Linked DNA regions of Rattus norvegicus. The protein of the gene in region 1 interacts with the protein of each later gene in a pairwise test. Links are inferred from orthologs where the notes say so. Each region holds a gene or a part of one and is shown on either strand. Other genes may lie near its edges.

Region 1 (7,358 bases):
CATCTCCATCACTGTACACTCACCTCTCCCTTCCAGGTTGACATTTTCCATTCTGTTCCTGACCGTCTGGCTTTCATTTTATGCAAGTTCCCCCCACCTTCTTCTTTTTTAACCACCATGGGAATTGAACCTGGGTCCACTGGAAGAGCAGCCATTCAGGAAAACCACTCATACACATTTGAGAGAGAGGGAGAGATGAATGGAGGGAGGGGAAGAGAGAGTGGGAGGGGGAGGGGGAGGAGGAAGGGGACGGGGGAGAGGGAGAGGGACAGAGAGATGTGGTGGCATATGCCTTTAATCCCAGCACTTGAGAGACAGAGGCAGGAGGTTCTGTGAGTTTGAGGCCAGTCTGGTCTACAGAGCAAGTCCCCCAAAACAGTCAGGGCTACACAGAGAAACCTGGTCTTGAAAAAAATCTGAAAAAAAAAAAAAGAAAACAAAAGGAAAGGGAACTGGTTTGTAAGTTCAGTGTGATGCTCACTTTATTCTTTATATATTATTTTGTATTTATGAAGTCGTTTTCCTCCCCCCAAGACAATATTTTACAATGTCGAGGAATCAACCTCTGTGCCAGTTTCTTTATTAGATTTTGGAGCCACAGGGTGTACGCCTTCATGTTCCTTCCAGAGAGATGAAAACCTTGTACACATGATAACGAGCTTTGGTTTGTGTGCAGTGCTGGTTTGACCAGGGCTTGCCCAGGCAAAGTCTGCACTACTGGGTTCTCTGTACCAAGCCCCTTCGTTGCCCACTTCCTCTTTTCTTCAAAGATGGGGTCTCACTTTGCAGTTATGCTAGCCTGGACCTCGCAAATGTCATCACACCTAACCAGCCCTTGGCCTTTTGAAACAGGATTTGAAATTGTCTATTTCCCAGCTACTGGGGTTCCAGGCATGTGCAGCTGGCAGAGTGAGCGTTTATGAAAATGCCATACATGCTCTATCTCCTTGTTCAGCACCCTGAGAATTCAGGTGGGTTTGAAAGCACCCTTTGGGTGGATAGAAAAGCAGCTGCTCAGAGTCGCTCGAAAACTGCACGCTTCTGGTAAATGGTTCTGTTCTACTGTAGCACTAGGTTTTCCAGGGCAGGATGGGAGGTGGAAAAGCACACTGGGAACAGCTAGTGAAGAAGACCCTGCCCTGGCACCCCAGGCCATCCACACTTCAAGTTCCTGTAGATAGGGGGGCAGCCACAAGGTACTCAGTGGGGACTGGGCTCATCGTTTGAGGACAAATACTGACAGGAGTGTTGGCTGCCACTTCACCTGACTCTGCCTTTCACTCCAGGACCTTCGGTTCTCTCAGCTTCTGCACAGATACCACAAAGCGAAGATAAGGACACATCCATTTCAGAACGGAGATGTGACAGGGTGAGTTCCAAACACCACACAATATGTAGGCTCAGAACTGGATCTGAAGGCCAGCCGTCCCCCTCCCTGCTCCAAGCACCTGCAGAAGTCCCAGTGTGAACACACATACAGGGCACAGGAAGAGACACATGGATCCAAATTAAAACGGAGCCGGAGCCGTGGAAGAGCTTGGTGTCAAGTTAGGGGGTGGAGGAGGGGTTGCTTCTTGGAGGAAGATGCTTGGACCTGCTGTGGGAGGGTGAATCAGGACGAAGCTGAGGAGATGGCAAAGGTTGAGAAGGGCCCATGCCTGGGAGAGGAGGAACAAAGCCCACAGTGTGGTCCTCACCAGAGCCTCTAAGTACCAATGGCCTGGTTTGGTTGGCAATGTGGCTTTTGTGTGAGATGGAGGGCTGAGGGAGCAGGTGCCTTGCCCTGGAATCCCTGTTTCTCCCTTTGCTCTAGGGGGAACGAACCTCCAGGAAGCCAGAAAGTATCGGTCCCAGATTCTTCCCTCCCAACCTCCCCCAGTCATAAATCACAAGTGATTTCATTAAATGCACCTCCTGCTGGGGATGTTGGCTCATAATTCCTCTCTGATTAACCCCCACTACCCCGGCAAGTTTATAGGCCAAGAGAGGGAGGGGGAGAGGGGAGGGGAAAAGGAGGGATGGGGGGAGCCCTGGGCGGGTGATGGATGCCTCTGTCAGCCCAGCTCGTATTTATTAATAGTCTTAATACGGGAAGCAATAAAGGAAGAGAGGGATTCTATTAATTAAATCATTGTTATAATTAACTTTCATTAAAGGAGGATCAATAAAGAGAGGTTGAGATGGAGAGAGGAGAGAGATCCATTATCTCCAATTTCCTTGGAAAGGATTCAGGGAATGAGATGGGGTTGCTAGGAGACAGACGTGAGGGAAGGAGGAGGGATGTAAGATGTCATCCAGGTGCAGTAGGAAGGGGTGGTGGTGGATGGGTTAGTTTCAGGTGAAGACAGGGATTGTGGGGGTGGTCCAGTAGTGAATCTGAAGGGTTGCAAGGTGCTGAGGAGGGTGTTTTGGGACAGAGAATGAGAGCTATAGGTGTACGCCTGCCAGGGCACAGAGCATTGGTGAGCACACAGGTCCTTAATATATGCTCTATGCTGCTGTGGATGTCTATGTCACCCAGACAACTGGTTGGGACAGATGGCTGTGTTGCTCTGACTGTAGAGTCAGGAGTGTATGGGGCTGTGCGGGATATAAACAAGGGTAGTAGGGAGCTTAGAGCACACCTCACTTGGCAGAACCCAAAGGTATGTGCTCTTGGTGGGAGTAGGGTGGAGCAAGGAGGGCCATGGAAGCTGATGGTCCCTGCATGTCCCTTCCCATCCCACCAGCAGTCTGCTCCTTCCTTAAAAGTGTGCTCCAGGCCAGCTGTGGCCTCAGGTGGCTGGCACACCAGAGGCCTGGTACCTACCTATTACCCCCTCCCTCCCTTGCCCCCTCCCTCCCAATGGGACTAGGAATTTGAAGCCCTTCTTTTCTGTAGCAATGCCTCTTGATAAGAAAATGTCATGACAACAGTTACACATATCATATAAATATATTTGTCCAAACTACAAATAAGAGGGGAGTTTAAGGGAGAGAGGAAGTTCTTATTGCTGTGGGGGCCTGGAGAGGGTGAGGGGCTGGGAAATGGGGACACCTGGGATCCCTTGTCCCCCTATCCCTCACAGAAGGCACAAATACATTTTCTTTTCTGCTTGAGGACTTCGGTGTGGGGTGGCAGGAGATGGTATAGGAACCCTTAAAAATACAAAAGAATCTTTCAAACTTATGGCCTAAGGTTGTGGGAAAGACTGGAGTTGGGAGTCAGAAAGAACCAGGGTAGGTCTTTCCTCATCAGGAAAGACCTGATGAGGTCATGAAGCCCATGCTGCTGCCTCCATGCAGGCCCCAGAGAAAACTTGAATAATAAACAAAGTCTGAACAAGAGAGGGGAGGGTACCCCAGGAGTTGGCTTTGGGGCATCAGAAGGAGTGGTGTGTGTATGTGTGTGTGTATACACACTTGAGCTATCAGTAAATAATTCTACTCCCACAAGGGAAAAGCCATCTCCATCCCGGCTCCTCTGAACTATTTTTCAGAGAGTAAACTCAGTCACTGGGTTTCCAAGACAGATTGCTGCCTGGAACAAAGAGATCAGGATGGAGACAGAGTTGTAAGGCTTGGGATGAAAGCGGGATGCAGGCATGGTCTGTAGAAACAGAACGTTATAAAGCCTGGTGTGATTAAAAAAAAAGGTATGAGACCAAACTGCATAACTGTCTGTGTGTACGTGTGTCTACATACGAGGGAAGGGTGAGATCACTCAAAGGTGAAAGGGTCCTGGGTGCTGAAAAAGAAATGTCCATCCATGTGGTCCTCCAGGGCATCCTTGTCACTCTCAGCAGGGAAGCGCTCCTTACAGATAGGACACTCCTTCCAGGCAGGGATGGCTGGGACCCCAGTGCTGGCCTCTGACAGAGAACTCACTGCAAAGCCACTAAAAAGAGGTGAGGAAAGACAGACAGGGTCAGGGTTCTCTGCTGCCTTTATTCTTATTTCTAATAGAGGGTCTCACCACAGTGCCCAGCTTCTGCAGTGTCCTTGACCTAGGGACCTCAGGGAATGAGACCCATGTGGTTCCTGTGTCTAATGTGCCATCCTGGTCATTCTCTGTTCAAGCCTGGCCTATGGTATTCTTCTGCTCCAGATGCCCGTGTCCTCTCTTCACAAGCCGCATCCCTGCTGGTGTCTATGGTATGGAACCCATCCCCCAGTCTCCGCTCTCCTCCCTCTGTCTCCGTCTGCTGCCTAATGAGGCTGAAAACGAGTCTGACATTGCTCTTCATTTTCCTGCTCTAGCAGAGAGACGACAGCATTGGCCCTTTCTGCCCCTGGCCCACTCACTCCAGGCAGAGGTGGGGGCCAGGTGAAGATGCTCCTTTCTCTGAGGCTCTGCCTGGCTGGCTGACTAGGACTAAAGAGCCACGCACCACCTGGTGCCTGCCCACACTTCAGGTTCTCCTCCCAGAGTTTCCCAGGAAGTCAGGGAGGGCAACATCTTTAGCACAGCCAGACAGATGCTCTGGGTGGCGTCTCTCTCAGTCTCCATCCCTGAGGCTTTGGTCACCTTCTTCCTCCCTGAAGACCTAGGTACCTACCTGGTGGTTGGGGAGGGGGAAGGGGCAGGAGAGAGGGGAAGCAGGGCAATTTGGGCTCCACGGAAGATGAAGCTAGAACAACACAGAAGCCAGTCAAAGGCAGGGAGAGAGAACATGAAGCCACCTGGGGTTTGTGGAGGTAGCCAACATTCCTGTCAACACACTGGTACCTTCTCTTGGCTGAGCCAAGAAGGGGGACTTGGGAGCAAGGCAAGGTGGCTGCTTGGGTACTGCCCTCCTCCCCTCTTTGTGCTGCCCTCACCTGGCCACATCATAGAAGGTACTGCCGAGCTCAGGAAGCAGAAGGTTGGCTTCCTCACCACCACTCTGCACAGCTGCCATCAAGACTGACTTCTCATCTTCAGCCTCCTGAGAAGGAAGAGATGGGGAGGACTGAGATGGGTCTGAGGTGGGGAAGTAGAAGGTAAGGGTGGAGGAGCTAAGGCTGGTCCCGGGCAGCAGAGTGGCAGGAAGAGAGAAGCAGAACAGAGCTTTCCCAGGGACGGTGAGGTAGGGCAGGGAGAGGGGGACAGGACGGGGGCTGGGAGCATCTGGGCTATTGCACTGGCCTGGGTTTTAGGTGAGACAAGATTTCACTGTGTAGTCTGAGCGTGAGTCTGAAGGCCTGAATCACACCTAGCTAGGCCTGCCTCCTCCAGCCCAGAGTATGTGCTATGTGGTACAGGCTTTCTCCGTGGTTCAAGTGTGACCCTACCACTGCTTACTACTTCCACATGGGCTCTCAGTACTCACTGAGTCTGAGCTGCTGGCCTCCCCTGGCCCTGAGAGCTGGGGAGCAATGGGTGCTGGCTGGTTGATAACAACAAGAGAAGAAGACTCCCGAGGTCCAGGAGGAGAGGAGCTTGTGTTTCCACGCTCACACAAGCCGTAGGAGGGGAGCCTCATGTCTTCTGGGGACTCATCCTCCGAGTCTGTCAGAGCTGCAGGGCAGCCTATGAGAGGGAAGACAGATAGAGAAGGAAGATCAGCCATGGGAATCTGAGGAGACCGACCGTTCCAGCTACAGAGGGCCCAGGGAACGGGAAGGGTCAGCTTCAAAGAGCATCAGAGAGGGGGAGGGAAGAGCTGCCCCAAGACTGGGGGCACAGACTCAGCCCAGCAGTGGCTTCCTCATCCTCTGTGGCAGCGTCTTCGTTCCACTTCTCATCTGCCACCTTTTCCAGGCGGGCCTCCAGTTTCCTCATGTACTCCAGCAGCTCCTGCAGTTGGGTAGAACAAGCAGGTCCTGAAGTCTGCAGACACCAGCCTTGCTGCTTGCTGGGCCTTCACTTGGTGGAGTCCTACGAGGCTGGCCCCTGACGGGTAGTTCTCTCTCCTCTACCCTGTGCCTCGTTCCCTTCTGGTGCTCCTCCCCTGCACAAAGTCAGTTTCTAAGAAGGGTCAGGGCCCTCTTTCAGCCTTTGTGTCCTCAAAAAGACACTGGTCTCTGATCCAAGATTTTACCAAGATGATACAGAATTTTGAGCCCCCAAGCTTTGGCATCCAGGGTCGCACCTATGGCAACAGGTGACTCTCACCTGTTTCTCTGTCTGCAACTGCTCCTTCTCCTTCTGAAGTACTCGGAGGGCTGACCGCAGCTCTGTGAGCTCCCGCTTACTCTCTGATAACTGCACCTGAGGGAAAAAGGTAATGGAACCTGGAGCCTGCAGCTATGTCCTTTCTTGCTCCATACCCAATGTTTCTTCCACAAGGCCCTTGTCTTGGCCCCAGGGCCTCAGGCCAAAGTCCTAACCTCTATCTCTCAAATGTGGCCCTAGCTAACTACCTTATGCTGGGGTGAAGAGGCTCTGCAATACAGAAAGCCACCCTGTACTCTGGTGTCTCATCCCGCCAGGCCCAGAGGTGCACGTTCAAATCCACAGAGCTGTGAAGTAGGCAGTCAGCACACAGTACTCAGAGTCGAGAGGCAGTGGGCACTAGTACATCAGGACATGGGTCTAAACCCAAGCAGGTAGGTGCCTCACCAGGCTAGAATCCTTTTCTCGGGCCAGCTCGGTCTTGAACATGTGGCTCTGGCTCCTCTCCTCCTGCACTGTCTTCTCCAGTCGGAGGATCTCTGCACTTAGCTTCAGGATCTTATCCTTCTCAGCCTAGAGATGTGAGGGGAGATGGGAGGGAGGAGGCGAAGTGGCAAGGGAGCCATGAAAACAGCATCACCCTCACTGGATCTTTCTTTTATGTCTGGGGGACCAACTTGTTTCTGACCAATTCCCTCACTTCCGAGCCGCTTGAGAGTGGGGATCACTACCATGACAGCACGTGTCCCTATACCAAGGATGGTAACTAGGGATGTTGGTGATCAGAACCGGGACTTGTTGGGGCCGGTTCATGCCTGGAAAGCAAAGTGTGCACCTCTCCTTAAGTCCCTAGGATCTCACCCACTCTTCTCTCCTCCCAGAGCACCAACTTACAGTTCGGAATCCCAGACAGGGAGGGTCACCTCTACCTCCATGCTCTGCAGCAGCCCTGTCCGCTCCTTGCTCCATTGGCATTTTTCCTCCTTCATGTGCAGGCTGAGCTCAGCCAGTCGGCCATTGACTTCAGCCACCTCCAGTCGGCTGCGGTGTAGCTCAGCTATGGTTCGGTCTCTAGCTCCTGCTGCACTGGCCAACTCCTCCCCAAGAAGGGCCGCTTTCTGTTGGCTTGAGGCTGCAAGTTCCTGGACCCCTCGGAGCTGCTCTTTCAGAGGCTCCAGCTCGGCCTCCAAAGAAGACAGACAATCAGACCCCTCAGGCAACCGCATGTGAGCCAAGGAGCCCTCATCAGGGTCGTGCTGCTCACTTTAGCCAACTTTGCTTC
Region 2 (8,079 bases), on another chromosome or scaffold:
CACAACATAAACCAGGCTCAGGAAAACCGCATTTTGGCTCCTTTGGTTTTTGTGTGGGTATGGATGTGTGTGTGTGTGGGGGGGGTACTAGAAAGGACACTCTGAGAGGGGCGCAAGAGACTTCCAGTGGTACAGAAGGTAACGAAGTTCATGGCCATGGAAGCAGAAGGGGGATGGCTTGGGAGAAAGGGATCAAAGGGGACACAGTAGAGAAGCGGAGCAGAGAGGAACAGAGGACACTGAGACATATGTCCTCACACTACTCTGTCCTCCAACTCACACAAACCAGGACACCCCAAAACCTGGAAAACAAAATACCAAACTGGAGGACAGAAAAACCGATGAGACTGAACATTGCATTCACGGCTTTATTCGATGCGTAATGGTTTCCTTGTAGAAAACATATGATTTCTATCAATCAGATAACATTCTAGTAAGAACAAACACATCTGCACACAGAGGCCTTGTGAGGCTGCGATCTTTGCACAACTAAACTTACGAACAGGTCTGAACAGCAGCACCTATCGCTCATTGTGGGCAGACTTCCCATTGTACAAACCAGTCTTTCACAGGAAGTGGCTCTGGGTTTCAGAGTAACGTTAGAACACATTTCCTGATCGCGGAGTAGACTTGCCTGCCTTCTGCCACATGTACTTGTAGCTGTGAGACATTTTGCATTTATAGGTATTCCTGTCTACCCCAGAGTTAATGCACACAGGGTCCTAATGAGCACAGGTTAATTCTAGTCTTGTCAAACTATAATTACTCACCCTTTCCCAGATTTTCCTATTTCTTGTCTCTTTACTTCCCCCTTCCCCCTTTGCTTCATCTCGATTTCTATAAAATACATCTGTAGCATTTCAAGGTCAAGCAGGTATTGACCTTTCTACAGCCTTCATCAAATACCTGGCTCTTAGCTTTTTCCTGAGTAATATAATAAAATACCTTTTTACAAGTTCTCGAGTTACTTTCTCTTTAGATTGCAGATTCCTATCTTGTGTTTCTGTGTTTCTCATAGGGCTGTGTAGGACATGTTAAGTGTCTTGGTTTTACGGATCATTCGTGTCTCAGTGTTTTCTAGAACCGCTCTTCCTTCTTTGTGGAAACGTGGCGTAGTCTCAGAACTCATCGACGGATGCTGTGTCCCAGCTGCAGGACAGCAGCTGCTCATCCTGAGGGAACTCAACCTCCACGTCATACACAAAACTGGGGTCATCCTTTCTCTTCTGATTTTTCTCGAAAAGCTCATCCATGATGCTCTTCCTTTTGGCGAGCTCCTTGTCGTCCAGTTTGTTCAGGTCTTCCTCGGGATCAATGGTTGTTTCCCGCTGGATCTGTTCCATTGTTTCTGCCAGGCTCTGCCCCTGTAGGGAACCTCGTAAAAAAACAAACAGCTTCTCCAGCTGCTTCAGGGACACCTGTTCCAGGTAACTCTTGTGCCGTGGGTTATTCTTTAATTGTTCAGCAGCTCTGGTGCAATCTGGGAGGGAGAAGAGTATATTACAGCACACAGCACACCCATTACAAACTACTGCGTGGACGAACACAGACCGAACCCTGAGATCACTTGCTCCGAGGTAGACAACTGGCTAGAGGGGTTTATTAAATCAATTATGCTTTAGAACTGTTTTTTATAATCAATTGAGTTTTAACACTTCTCAGTTACACATGCTGTTACATGGCAGCCTTCCACATTAAAACATCCCACCTTACAGGGAAGTTCCTTCAGACAAGAGTAAACAATTCAAAGTAACACAGGAAATCCCTAAAACTGACCAAATTCACTAGGTTCCTCCCTTCTGGAGGATAAACAAAGACAGCTAAGGGTCACTCTCAAAGGAGCTTAATTTACACACAAGACTCTAGAGACCTGCCAAACAGCCTAACAGAAACAAGAGGCACTCTCCACCCTCTGAGATGCCTGCAGGCTGAGCAGTGTTCCCAGCTTTGTGAGCTGTCACCTATGCTGGCATAGGCCTTGGTGATGCAGCTGTCTCTGAGTCATTTCTGCTCCTGTGAGTAACCCCTCACCCATATTCCTGTAAGTGACCTCAGTAAAGCTTGTGGGTTCATTAAATTGAACTTCAATGGTATTCACACTTTGGTCATGGGTTCACTATCTGAGATAAACACACCTAACTATGTTGTTTCAACCTAGGAGAAGTTGGTCATACAGCACACATATGAAGAGTTGGAAGGACAGAATGTTTGAGGCTAGCCTGGACTATTTAACTAGGTCCTGCCTTCAAAGCAAAAATTACAACAGGGTGGGTATGGTGCTATAGGTTTATAATTGTTTCTCATCCCAGCATTAGGAGGCTGAAGCAGGATACTCATGAGTTCTTGGCCATCCAAGGTGAAGCAGAGAGATCTTGTCTCAAAGAAATACCAAAAAATAACATAATTTTTAAAAAGAATTTCTTTATTTCGACTGTATATGCTGAGTGTTTGCCTGAATGTGTTAGTGTGTACCTTATGTGTGGTGCTGGCAGAGACCAGTAGAGGGCGCTAGATCTCCCGGAACTGGAGTTAGAAGATGGCTGGGAGCTGCAATGTGGGTGCTGGGAACTGAACCCAGGTCTTCTGAAAGAACAGCAAGCCCCCAAATAAAACATTTTAAATAAACAAACAAACAAACTTAACTTTGGTGTGGAGAGAGAAGGATGAACTGTTTCTTTTATTTATTTATTTATTTTTTACTTTGTAAACTTAAAATTACTTTGTAGAGTTGTTAAAAACTTTCAACTGAAGAAAATGTCTAAAGGTAAAAAATGGCATGATTTTTTATTTGTTTTAGACTATGTAGCCTCTGCTGGGTTAGAGCTCACTATGTAAGACCAGGTTTGATCTTAAACTCACAGAGATTCACCTGCCTTCTGAGTGCTGGGACTAAAGCTACCCCTCCTACCAAAAACAAAAGGGGGGGGGGGGCATGATCCTGGAGGCAGGAGCTGATGCAGAGGCCATGGGCTTACAGGCTTGCTCACCACCGCTTGCTCAGCCTGTTTTCTTATACTAAACAGGACCATCAGCCCAGAGTGGCCCCACCCTCAGTGGGCTAGGCCCTCCTACATCAGTAATCAATCAAGAAAACGGACCACAGGTCTGCTACAGATCAATCTGTTGGGGGCATTTTCTCACTTGGCATTCCCCCTTCCTAAATGATTCCAAGCTTGTGTCAGGTTGACCTAAAAATACCAACACAGAAACTGAAGTGGATGAATAAGTGATCTCACAATGATCACAGGCGGGTCTCTGACGATCTAAACCCAGGGTTGTTGAACTCTGAGGAGCCTGTCATTCCATCGCAAGGAACTGAAATATCCTCCCTCCCTCCCTCCCTCCCTCCCTCCCTCCCTCCCTCCCTCTTCCTTTCCCTCTCTCCCTTCTCTCCTTCCCTCTTTCTCTCCCTCCCCCTCCCCTTCCTTTTCCCTCTCAGTAGGACTGACCCAGGACCTTGCACACAGTAGGTCAGGGTTCCACCACTGACTTTCAACCCCTCCCCAACCCATCCCTTTTGTTTTCTGCTCTCATTTTGAGACAGGCTACCTCAAGTTGTCCAGATATTTTGCATTAGCAACTTTCCTGCTTGGGTTATAGGTGTGTGTCACCATACCTGATGATGTCGGGTTATTTTTATTAAACGACTTAAGAATATTTAAGACACAGCCACAGCAAACACAGAGGCGTATGCCAGCAGCAAACCACTGAATTGAGAATAGGACCCCCGTTGAAGGAATCAGAGAAAGAACTGGAAGAGCTTGAAGGGGCTTGAGACCCCATATGTACAACAATGCCAACCAACCAGAGCTTCCAGGGACTAAGCCACTACCTAAAGACTATACATGGACTGACCCTGGACTCTGACCTCATAGGTAGCAATGAATATCCTAGTAAGAGCACCAGTGGAAGGGGAAGCCCTGGGTCCTGCTAAGACTGAAGCCCCAGTGAACTAGATTGTTGGGGGGAGGGCGACAAGGGGGGAGGATGGGGAGGGGAACACCCATAAAGAAGGGGAGGGGGGAGGGAGATGTTTGCCTGGAAACCGGGAAAGGGAATAACACTCGAAATGTATATAAGAAATACTCAAGTTAATAAAAAAAAAAAAAAAAAAAAGAATATTTAAGACAGGAGGTAAGGGCTGAAGAGCTGGTTCAGTGGTTAGGGGTGCTTGCAGGGTTCCCAACTTCAGCAACGATTAGGCTTGCAACTCTAGCTGCAGGGAATCTGATGCCCTCTTCTGGTCTCTGTAGACACCAACTCACGTGGACACAGACACATGAATAAAATAAGCTGACAGCTAGGCAGGAAGCGAGATAAAACGAGGCGTACCTGAGAACTTCGAAAAGTTTCGGACAGGCATGATGCGCTGGCGGCTCTTTCCTTCAGCTTCATTCTCATAAATCAAGATCATGGCCGGAGGCTGGAACCTAACTCCACACTTCTTGGCAATGTATTTCATCGTCTCGTGTAACTCAGGGTAAACTGGAGATCTCATACAGATAGGACAGCTGTGCAACAATTTCCTAAGAGAGGTCAACCACATCGAGCTAGGTGTTGAATAAATCCTTCCCCATCTCCTCGGTGGATCTGGCTGTGGACTAGCCCCGTGATTGTATGCTCACAAAGTTCCAGACTTTGAGGGATACCCTGAAAGTTTAGTCTGGTCCAGGCTAGCCTCAGCTCGTCGGATCTCTGAGTAGGTAATGCCATTCTGTCTGGACCCCTTAGTGTGCTGCACTCGTACCAGAGATTACACACAAACCTCCCAGGGGCCCAAGAACTGACCTGCTGGCCTTCGGAATCACTTTGATGTTTCAGTTAAAGGACTTCTGAGTCACCCTCTATGTATACGTTCTTTTAAACTTTTTCCTTTTTCGAGACACTGTCTCGTGTAGCCCAGATTGGCTTTGAATTTGTTATGAAGTGGAGGATTACCATGAATTTCTGATCCTCCTGTCTCTGCTTCCCAGTGTTAGAATCACAGCATGTGCTATTAAACTTGGTTTATGGGCTGCTCAAGACGGAACCCAGGGATTTATGCAGAGTAGGCAAGCATTCTTTTAGCTATGCTACGTCCCCAGCACTTTCCGCTTTATAAACATTTTGTACTGAGAAGTCCACTAGACCAGATGTAATTGCCTTGTGCTTTCCAAATTCATCCAATTCATTCTTTCTTTCCTTTTCTTTCTTTTTTTTTTTCAAGATAGGGTTTCTCTGCCTATTCCTGGAACTCTGCAGACTAGGTTGGCCTGAACTCAGAGATCTGCCTGCCTCTGCTTCCTGAGTACTGGGATTAAAGGTGTGCACCACCACTGCCTACCCCCACCATTCTTTTATTCATCATTTTTACTTACCATGTATCCTCCCTGTTATTCTATTTGCTCTAGGAAGGCAGGAAGTGTGTCCATTTTCATTAAGCTCTTAGTACATGTCTGGAACATAATAAAGGTAATACTTGTTCAGTGCTGTGTATTAATACAAGCAAAGTTACTATATATTATCCTGGGGCATTGGGGCAGGAGTCAAATGCTGGTACACATTGTTATATAATATGAAGTACTGTTACAGGAATTGTTAGTTTGTGTTGAGGCTTCTCTAAGACCATGTAGGCCAACATTTTCACAGGTCCTTCTCTTAAACCTAGCAGCCTGGGGTGGAACTGTCAGCCCTTTACTCTTAATAGCCAGACTCTGGTTCCTTCCTTCCTTCCTTCTTTCTTTCTTTCCTTCCTTCCTTCCTTCCTTCCTTCCTTCCTTCCTTCCTTCCTGTTTCTCTGAGGATACTACAGAAGCATAGCTGAAGACAGTCATCAGGAGCACTCCACCAGTCTGCACAGGTCTCAGAAAGCCCGGGCTGAGCGGAAGCCTCAATGAGCATTAGGCAGAGGGGCACTCATCATGTTGGCTCCGCGGCAGGTCTGTGATGCATGAAGGGATGTGTTGTGATTGCTGCAAATATTCTGGCCTCTGTCCACCTGGCAGCTCACTTCTGAAGTCACCTGGATACACCCTCATTGTGCTGCTCCCAGCGTTACATGCTATAACATTAGGCTCATTTGAAAGGCTCTGCGAGTGGCCTTTTCCCTCCTGCCTTTGACTGTTAGTATTAGCAGACCAGACTGAGCTATCGGCACAAGGAAGACAAGGTTAGAACTGGCACACTGGTAGCAGCTTCCAACTAGTAACAGTTGAAGCCCCAGGAAGGCTTCCAGAGAGGAAGCAAATAACTGAAGTGGAAACACTGGAGTAGAGGCAGAGGAAGCTATGAGAACTAGGTGCTGAAGAGTTTCAGGAGGCTTCCTGGCCTTAAGCGGTAATACTAGTCATTGTAGGAATGAAGTGTCTGTTGTTATTAAAATCTTGTTGTTGTTAAATATCGGCCTGTACCCATCCAGATAGAGCACACCAAACCAATACGGTTCCACAAGGAGAGATTTATGAAGAATGAGACTAGGGGAAGGGGCAAGAGAAAGAAAAGAAAAGAGAAGGAAGGCAAAGGAAGTCTGCTTTTTATTTGGAATGTGATGTAACTATTCCCAGGTCGAGGTGGGAATTGAGCCAAAAGGTCTTCTGGGAATGTATGGCTGTTGCCATAGCAACAGTGACCAACCGTTGCAGCTGTTGGAGGTAAAGGCAATTCCTGATACCAACAGTGTCTCAACAGTCAAGGCCCCCCTCCAGGATCTGTAAGTCCAGCAGATGACTGCTGCTCTCACTCACAGCCGCTGGGCGCTGAGCATTACAGTGGCTGGCAAATGCTTGCCAAATGAATGCCAACAGCATCCAACCTGAGCACCCAGAGCCATGCGTCACTAGCTTCTAAATCAGGAGCCCTAAGTCCCGACCTCTCAGTGTTTGGAATTGCAATCATCTAGTCTGCTAGTCCAGGCCTTGGACACTCAAGGGCCTGGGAACTTCTCCTACTGATTTCTATCCAGTTAGAGCAACATGACCCCAGCCAGCTGACAGGTGACAACCGAAATATCAATCACAGTTAAAATGGCGGATCTGAACAGGCATAGTGTCTGAGTTCTGTAATCCCAGAACGCAGAAGGCCAAAACAGCAGGACTGCCCTGAGTTCCAGGACAGCTGTTTGAGAACTCTGTTTGTTCCCTTACGTCTCAAGAAAAAAAAGGGGGTAGGGGTGGTGTGTAGATAATCAGCCTCTCCATATGCAAAACAGTAATGTGTATGTGGCCTTTACTACAGCTCATTTGTCTGACTATGGTACTTTTCCAGGTATAAGAAACGCAGATATTTTCAGATTAATACTTTCTGCTCTCTCTTTCCTTCTCTACCCTCAGTGGCAAAGTAGTACACTCAACTTTAAGAATGACTTAGATTCTTACACTTGCATAGTGGCTATGGTTTGCAAATGTTGAAACTGGATTGATGTCATACAGGTGAAGGCAGGTACAAGATAGAACGAGGCCTGTCATTGGACGAGAAGGAAGGATGGGCGGGAGAAAAGTTTTAGAGAGAGGAGGAGACTGGAGGAGGCAGGAGAAGCAGCAGAGAGAACATGGAGGCTGATGTTAAGATTCCTCTCTGCACATTTACAGGTTGTTATGAATAATCTTTTTTTTTTTAAAAAGATTTATTTATTTATTTCATGTATGTGAGTACACTGTAGCTGTCTTCAGGCACACCAGAAGAGGGCATCAGATCTCCATTACAGACGGTTGTGAGCCACCATGTGGTTGCTGGGAATTGAACTCAGGACCTCTGGAAGAGCAGTCAGTGCTCTTAACCTGTGAGCCATCTCTCTAGCCCCCTGTTATGAATATTCTTAAGGGATGGATGTGTACAGGGCTTTTTGTATGTCTAGGTGAGCAAATTATATATTATCAATTGTATCGGAGGTTATTGTGTTGTGTGTTCTTTCATGTTTTAAGTTCAAGAGTATATGTGGTGACTGGAGACGTGTATTTCTGGCATGGTGGCAACCTGCCTTGGGAACTAGATGGGTAGAGAGACTGTTGTCAGGCTCAGAGAGAAGCCATCAGCAGTGTGATATGGGATTGAGCAAAGCGGGTGAGAGGAAGATATCTACAAGATATCTTGGGGCACTAAGGT
Region 3 (7,334 bases), on another chromosome or scaffold:
CACCCATCTACATACGTAAACGGACTCTAGAATAATTAAAACAGATGAATATCTAGTTAACAATATTCCTCTTTTTCCCAGAGATGAAAATCCTTGTAGACTTTTAAAAAGTGCCTGTGTGCTTTTTCACAGTGCTATTTTTGGTAAAGCTGCCATCACTTTGTAATACCGTTTTGAGATGAGCTTTATATAGAAGGAAAGCTTTTTTTAAATTAATCACACTACATATTCAAAAATTCTTATAACATTCTGTTTTGTATCCTGTATCTTCACAGGTTCTTGATAAAACGTAAACACCCTTCCTTGTTTACCTGCATTCACCACACTTTAGTGATTTGCGGTATTTCATGATTTAGATACACAGGAACTTGTTTTGCCTGAGGGGTTTGTCCCATGTTCCCCTGTGATATCTAAACTAAAAACGGTGCCAAAAGCTCATAACATATGCTGCAGTTTTCCCTATGAATGCCTACCTTTGAGAGGTTTAATTTGTAAGTTAGATTAAGTAACACTAATAATAACAAAATGGAGTAATTACTATATTAAGCGAGGGCTAATAGAACACAGGCCTGCCTGTGATACCGTGTTAGTCAATTTCATAACCGAGATAGCCAGTAATTAGCAGGTAATATCGCATATGCCGTGTGTATACACCGGCTAAAAGGGGGATGCTTGTCCTTGTTCTAGTGTGCTTTCTGTCACTACGATAAAACATTGACCAAAACCAACTTGGGGAGGAATTACAGTTGATCATCAAGAGAAGCCAAGGCAGGGGCTTGAAGCAGAAACCATGAAGGAATGCTACCTCCTGACTTGCTTCCTCTGGCTTGCTTAGCAACAGTTCTTAACACAGCCTAGACCCACCTGCTAGGGGATGGTACTGCCCACAGGGGGCTCCATGCTCCCATGTCAATTAATAACTAAAACGTCCCAGAAACATGTCCATAGCCAGTCCTATGGTGGCGATTTCTCAATTAAGGTTTTCTCTACATAGACCTGTAAAATTGACCACGACTGCTAGCTATGACAGCCTCAGGCACAACACAGCAGGACAGTACAAAATTTGAAATCTATTAGTTGTTTACCAATAGAATTTAAAAAAAAATATTTGGGAGGCATAGTCGACTGTGGGTAAAAAGTAAAACCATGGATGAAAAAGGATTACCGTACTATACTTAATAAGTTTTTGTTTCCGTCAGAAAATGTTTCTTTCCCTAATATTTCGGTTTCAAATAGTATTAAATCTGGCTTATATAACACCTTTCAGCACATTTAGAATTCCTCCCTTTAATCTGTTCCTAGAAGAAGGTGTTTACACAGCGCATGGATGCCTTTCTAAGGTTTTTGATGCATGTAGCTAAATCCATCCGGGAAGTTCCCTAGGGGAAAGGTTCAGAGTGGCAGTTCTCACACTGTGGGTCACGACCCCTCTGACAATCCTGAGTCTCCAAAAACATCCACACTGAAGTACGCAGCAGTAGAAAAATTACAGCAATGAAGTCGCAATGAAAACAGTTCCACGGTTGGGGGTCAGCGTAGCATGAGGAACTGTATTAAAGGGTTGTGGCACATAGAAGCGTGAGCACTGTTTTGGAGGATTGCCCTCACCGGGGCGGTTCACCGTTCAGTCTCCACGCCTGCAGGAGAACAGAGGAGAGGGGTAAGTTCCGACCCAGTGAGCCCCACCCCACCCCTTAACTTCCCGTGTACCCTCCCTCAGGTATGCTGCCAGAGACAAGAGCCGTCTAATCCAGCTGGGCATTACCCATGTCGTAAATGTTGCTGCGGGCAAGTTTCAGGTGGACACAGGCGCCAAGTTTTACCGTGGAACACCCGTGGAGTACTATGGCATTGAGGCCGATGATAACCCCTTCTTTGACCTCAGTGTCTACTTTCTGCCTGTTGCTCGTTACATCAGAGATGCCCTCAATACTCCCCGAAGTAAGCTGCTGGGGAAGAGGTTGGGTTAGGGTCAGGGTGGGTAGGGAGCCCACAGCACCAGCTCTGTCAGAGGCCCTCCCGCAGTAGGATCAGATGGTTATTGCCACTTAATGAGTACATGGTGGAAGCCAGTGACTTCAGATATAACTAAGATTCAGCATGGGGTTGCAGAGGCGGCTCCGTTGGGAAAGTACATGCTGTGCAAGCATGGGGATCTGTGTTCGATCCCTGGAACCCACATGGACAAGGCAGGGATAGTAGTGTGTGCTCATAATTCCAGCATCAGATAGATGAATAGAGAGATTCTGAGGCTCATTGGCAGGCAGCCTGGACAGTATGTCCAGACCTGTGAGAGACCCCATCTTAAAAAATGAAAGTGGACAGCACCCAAGGAACAACACTCAGAGCTGACTTCTGGCCTTCATATATGCATGTGTGTACATGCATGCACACCTATACTCTCATGCGTACCATTACATCAACACACACACACATGTGCACACACTTTCTCACACACATACACACACTCACACATATGTACACACTCTCTCACACACACATGTACACATACTCATACACACACACTCATACACACACACTCACACACATGTGCACACACTTTCTCACACACATACACACACTCACACATATGTACACACACTCTCTCACACACTCACACACACATGTGTACACACTCATACACACACACTCACACACATGTATACACACTCTCACACACGCTCACACACATGCACACACACACCCTCATAGACACTCACATGCACACACACACTCTCTCACACACACTCACATGCACACACATGCACATGCACACACACGCTCACACACACGCTTACATGCACGCACGCACACACACATGCAAACACACACACACTCTCATACCATCCATTTTGATCCCCAGAATAACCATACTCTTTAGAAAGAAGCCAGATACTAGGCAGAAATCACCAAGACCTTGCAAAGACTCATGGGTAAGCACCCCAGAGGGAAGACGTAAGTGCAAATCCAAGAGGTCATGGAAGTTTGGTGACCCTCACCTAGAGTTGCAATGGCTACCAGAGAAAGCCCTTCTACACCAGGAGAGGGAGCCCTGCTGCTCTTTAGCCTTATACTAAGTCGTTGTGTGATCTTGAGCTTCCATTGTCCCTGAAGGGATGGCCAGAGATGTCCCTTCTTCCCAAAGGTGAGATGGGAACAGGTCACCAATGCTAGCTTGGGTCTTCCTACAGGCCGAGTGCTGGTCCACTGCGCCATGGGGGTAAGCCGCTCTGCTACAATTGTCCTGGCCTTCCTCATGATCTTCGAGAATATGACACTGGTAGACGCCATCCAGACGGTGCAGGCCCACCGAGATATCTGTCCCAACTCAGGCTTCCTCCGACAGCTCCAGGTTCTGGACAATAGGCTGAGGCGGGAAACAGGGAGACTCTGAATTAGGGAGCACTTGAAGCCCTGACTCCTCCATCCAGCGTGGCCTAACCTGACTTACCTGGCCCTGGGAATGGCAGCCTTGGCTGTTTCCAGAGTCCCTGAGATGGCACCAGCAAGTCAGGGCTCCGCTGAAGCAGAGGCAGGGTGGGCTGGGTGGCAGCCCTCAACAAGTGGAGTCCCCTGACACAGCAGAGAAATTCTTTATGCAGAAGAAATTTCAGACTGTCTCTATAATAAAAGGTTCATCATAATAACAGTGGTTTGTAGACAATGGCTTTACTCTCACGAGGGCCACAGTCCTAGGGTAGCCTGCCAGCTCTGACTCAGTAGTCTGGTGGAAGAAGTAGCCTGTTGATACCACAAGGCCAACTGAGGAGACCGTGCAGGTGGGGTTCAAAAGGAGGTTTGCTCCAGTGCTGCGGACCAGGCGACTAAGTCCTCATCTTGTCTCTTTTGTACCCTCACCCAATGCTAAGGTTGTCTGTTTAAAAAAAAAAAATTCCAGTGGCTGGAGAGATGGCTCAGTGGTTAAGAGCCCTGGCTGCTCTCCCAGAAGTCCTGAGTTCAATTCCCAGCAACCACATGGTGGCTCATAAACATCTATAATGAGATCTGCTGCCCTCTTCTGGCCTGCAGGTGTCCACGCAGCTAGAGCACTTCTACACATAAGATAAATAAATCTTAAAAAAAAAAAAAGTTCCAAGTGTCACATCCTCTCTGGGCCACAATCAAAACTCACCATTGGGATCCAGTGAGAGTGTAAGCCCTGGCAACCCGAGCACCATCTTCTACCTTATAAACATGAAGAGAAAGAATGGGGGCCGGGAAGGTATCTCTCATGCCAGGGCACACATACACACCCTGACACATCATGCCTATACACAGTAATAATAAAATCAAGCTTATTTTTAAAAGTAAATTAAGGTCAAGTGAGAGACAGCTGGACAGGTAAAGGTATTTGCTACCAAACACAACGACCCGAGTTCAATCCCTGGGACCCATGCGGTAGAAAGAAAGAACCAAATCCCACAAATTATTCTCTCATCTCCACACACTTACTATGACATGGATATACCCGTCTCCCCTCCCCCAAAAAACCCCATAAAGAAGTGTTATAACAAAAAAGAACAGTCTTAAAAGTTAATTTGAAAACTGACTGTTGGAGCTAGGGGTGTAGGGCAGGGGTGAAGCGCTGGCCTAGCATATGTAAACCTCTGGGTGTGATTCACGGCATTATAAACAAAACAGCAAGGAGCAGTACCTATGGGCCTAGCATTGAGGCTGGAGGACTGAGTACATTCAAGGAAGGCCAGGCTAGACTACATAGTAAATTACAGGCCTGGGACTAGGGACGTCCTCAATTGGTAGAGTTGTTTCCCTAGGGCACACGGGGCTCTAGGCTTGATCCTCAGTGTCTTAGGGTTTCTATTGCTATGAAGAGACACCATGACCATGGCCACTCTTACACAGAAAAACATTCAGTTGGGGCTGGCTTACCGTTTAAGCAGTTTAGTCCACCATCGTCACGGCGGGAAACATGGTGGCATACAGGCAGACACAATGCCAGAGAGGAAACCGAGTGTTCTACATCTGGATCACCAGGTTGTAGGGAGAGAGAGTGACACAGGGCCTGGCTTGAGCATCCCAAATCTCAAAGCCCACCTCCACAGTGACACACTTCCTCCAACAAAGCCACACTCACTCCAACAGGGTCACACCTCCTAGTAATGCCACTCCCTGTGAGCCTATGGGGGTCATTTTGATTCAAACCACCTCACCCAGAATGATATAAACCTGGGTGCCCGTGTGCCACAACCCTCAGGAGGTAGAGGCAGAAAGATCAGTTCGAAGTCATCCCTAGGACATAGTGAGTTTGAGGCTAGCCTGGGCTACAGGAGAAAAGGATGAAGAAAACAATACAGAAAGTTTCCCTTGGGTTCCTCACTGGCAAACAGCATGACCTGCTCATGGTTTTTAGGGTGAAATGGTTTGCTTTCCCCACTTTTCTCTGGTCCCATTTTTCTCCTGCTTCCTCAGATTTTTTCTACTGACCCTAGAATATGAAGGTCTCTCTGGGTTTTGTCGTCTTGCGTCTTATCTCCCAGATGCTCCTACTTTTCTGGGTGAGCCTTGGCTCTCCCAGCCTCAGTCTTCTCTCCTGTGCTCCAAACCTGGGTATTCCACTAGCCACCTTCATTAGTGTATTAGGCCTTCAGCCTCAGCTGAACTTTTCATAATCCTGTACCCCACCCCCAGACTCTCTCTTCTAGCTTGTTCCCTACTTTACAGCAGAGTTTCCCACCACCGTTCTTGTGCCAACAATAGCTATTTTTATTGATTTTTTTTCTTACCACTATTGCAAGATATCTGATAGAAGCCACTTAAAGAAAGACATCACTATTTTGGTTCTCAGTTTCTGAGGAAATTCAAAGTTGCTCAATCTTTGGTGGCAGGAGTTTAAGGCTGCTTACATTGTGGCTGACCAGGAATCAGAGAACTCAGTGTGCTTGATTGAATGAGAACAGCCCACATAGACTCCTATGTTTGAATGCTTAGTTCCCATTTAGTGGAACTGTTTGGGAAGGATTAGGAGGTATGGCCTTGTTGGAGGAGGTGTGTCACAGGAGGTGGGCTTTGAGGTTTCAAAAGTCTCTCTGTGTCTGTCTGTCTTTGTCTTTCCATCTCTGTCTGTCTCTCAACTCTCTCTCCCTCCCTCCCTCCTTCCCTCCCTCCCTCCCTCCTCCCCTCCCTCCCTCCTTCTCTTCCCCTCTCCCTTTCCTCCCTCTCTTTCCTCCCTCTCCCTCTTTCTCTCTCTGCCTGCTGCCTGTGAATCAGAATCTAAAGTTCTCAGCTACTGCTCAGCACCATGGTTGAGATCAGAAAAAGGTAGAGTTTTCAGATGCCAATCACCCATAATTTGTTTCCACATCCCAAAGGTTCCAAAACCTCCCAGACAGCACCACCAGCTGGGGACCAAGCATTCAAATAGGTGAGCCTAAAGGGAACATTTCAGACTAAAACCAGAAGAGCTGTCAACCTTGACATAGCCCCTGGCAACCCCTTCAGGTACAGCTCTGTGGGTCTATGGGCCGGCAGCCATGGGTTCACATCACTAGGCCATTAAGGAGACCAGATCCTGGCACATCCTGGGACTGGATGGTCTCTCTGTCCTGCCGCACTGCACACATCTCTCATCCAGCTCCCCTGGTGTCCTCTCCTAACATAGACCACTCATAAGCCCCTTAGACTCTCCAGAATTCTCACCAAGACTGTAGAGCCAATTCTGGCTCCCCCGGGGGCTTAAAGAAGGTTCCCTTCTCTAGTCTACTCTTGGGGGGTGATGGTTCTCCTTGGTGCAAATTGGAAAGCGTCTGGGCAAACCACATTTGTGGACAGAGCACTCCAGATTAACAAGCTGCCTGTGCCCCCTCCTCCCAAATGGACAGGGTCCCGACTCAGGATCCCTGGCAGGGTAAAACTGACCCCTGGGCTGGATCTTAGCCCCCCTTAATCTATTTGCAAATCACAATCTACTTGAAAGCATTCTAGCTTGGTAGGTTCACACCCCCATTTCATACACAAGTCAACTGAGGCTCCAAGGAAGAAACCAGAACGGAATGTAGGTTCAGGATCTAGGACAAGCGCTGCCAGCTGGCGCTCTCACATTTCTGTGGCATACCTCTGAAGGCTCGTGCTGCTGGGCCCAGGTTCACTCCAGAATCTAGGGCCCTACCGTGTATGGCTGCTCCAACTCTAGGGAGAGATGGCTTTTCTCAGTCCAACCTGAAGTTGGTGGGGACTGGAATTATCCAGATCGGACATAGTCCTAGCTAACAGCCCAACCTACTTACCCCCAATTCCCGGAGGTCCTCCTCCTCCTGACAGCTCAGACCTTGTTGCTATTTCCTGCTCACCCACTGTCAGCAGCACCCAAAATAGTG

Evidence for each region. The genes of interacting proteins can lie anywhere in the genome.
Region 2: the proteins of Calcoco1 (region 1) and Cep19 interact in binary tests that used the Homo sapiens proteins (3 or more experiments, as listed by UniProt). The two-hybrid records come from large-scale screens. The link is inferred for Rattus norvegicus from reciprocal best matches to the Homo sapiens genes CALCOCO1 and CEP19.
Region 3: the proteins of Calcoco1 (region 1) and Dusp13b interact in binary tests that used the Homo sapiens proteins (3 or more experiments, as listed by UniProt). The two-hybrid records come from large-scale screens. The link is inferred for Rattus norvegicus from reciprocal best matches to the Homo sapiens genes CALCOCO1 and DUSP13B.

The regions. Positions count from the first base shown.
Region 1 is NC_086025.1:135,710,292-135,717,649, forward strand, and holds the end of Calcoco1 (calcium-binding and coiled-coil domain-containing protein 1), read right to left. Parts: intron 7,261-7,358; coding exon 7,006-7,260; intron 6,650-7,005; coding exon 6,524-6,649; intron 6,173-6,523; coding exon 6,077-6,172; intron 5,759-6,076; coding exon 5,650-5,758; intron 5,492-5,649; coding exon 5,292-5,491; intron 4,908-5,291; coding exon 4,801-4,907; intron 4,611-4,800; coding exon of another isoform or gene 4,539-4,610; intron 3,878-4,538; coding exon 3,700-3,877; 3' UTR 2,917-3,699; downstream 1-2,916. UniProt on the Homo sapiens protein: Functions as a coactivator for aryl hydrocarbon and nuclear receptors (NR). Recruited to promoters through its contact with the N-terminal basic helix-loop-helix-Per-Arnt-Sim (PAS) domain of transcription factors or coactivators, such as NCOA2.
Region 2 is NC_086029.1:82,182,514-82,190,592, forward strand, and holds the end of Cep19 (centrosomal protein of 19 kDa), read right to left. Parts: intron 5,436-8,079; 5' UTR 5,358-5,435; intron 4,527-5,357; 5' UTR 4,499-4,526; coding exon 4,333-4,498; intron 1,481-4,332; coding exon 1,119-1,480; 3' UTR 355-1,118; downstream 1-354. UniProt on the Homo sapiens protein: Required for ciliation. Recruits the RABL2B GTPase to the ciliary base to initiate ciliation.
Region 3 is NC_086033.1:2,620,788-2,628,121, forward strand, and holds the end of Dusp13b (testis and skeletal muscle-specific dual specificity phosphatase), read left to right. Parts: exon of another isoform or gene 1-1,637; intron 1,638-1,720; coding exon 1,721-1,941; intron 1,942-2,999; exon of another isoform or gene 3,000-3,191; coding exon 3,192-3,394; 3' UTR 3,395-3,647; downstream 3,648-7,334. UniProt on the Homo sapiens protein: Dual specificity phosphatase that dephosphorylates MAPK8/JNK and MAPK14/p38, but not MAPK1/ERK2, in vitro. Exhibits intrinsic phosphatase activity towards both phospho-seryl/threonyl and -tyrosyl residues, with similar specific activities in vitro.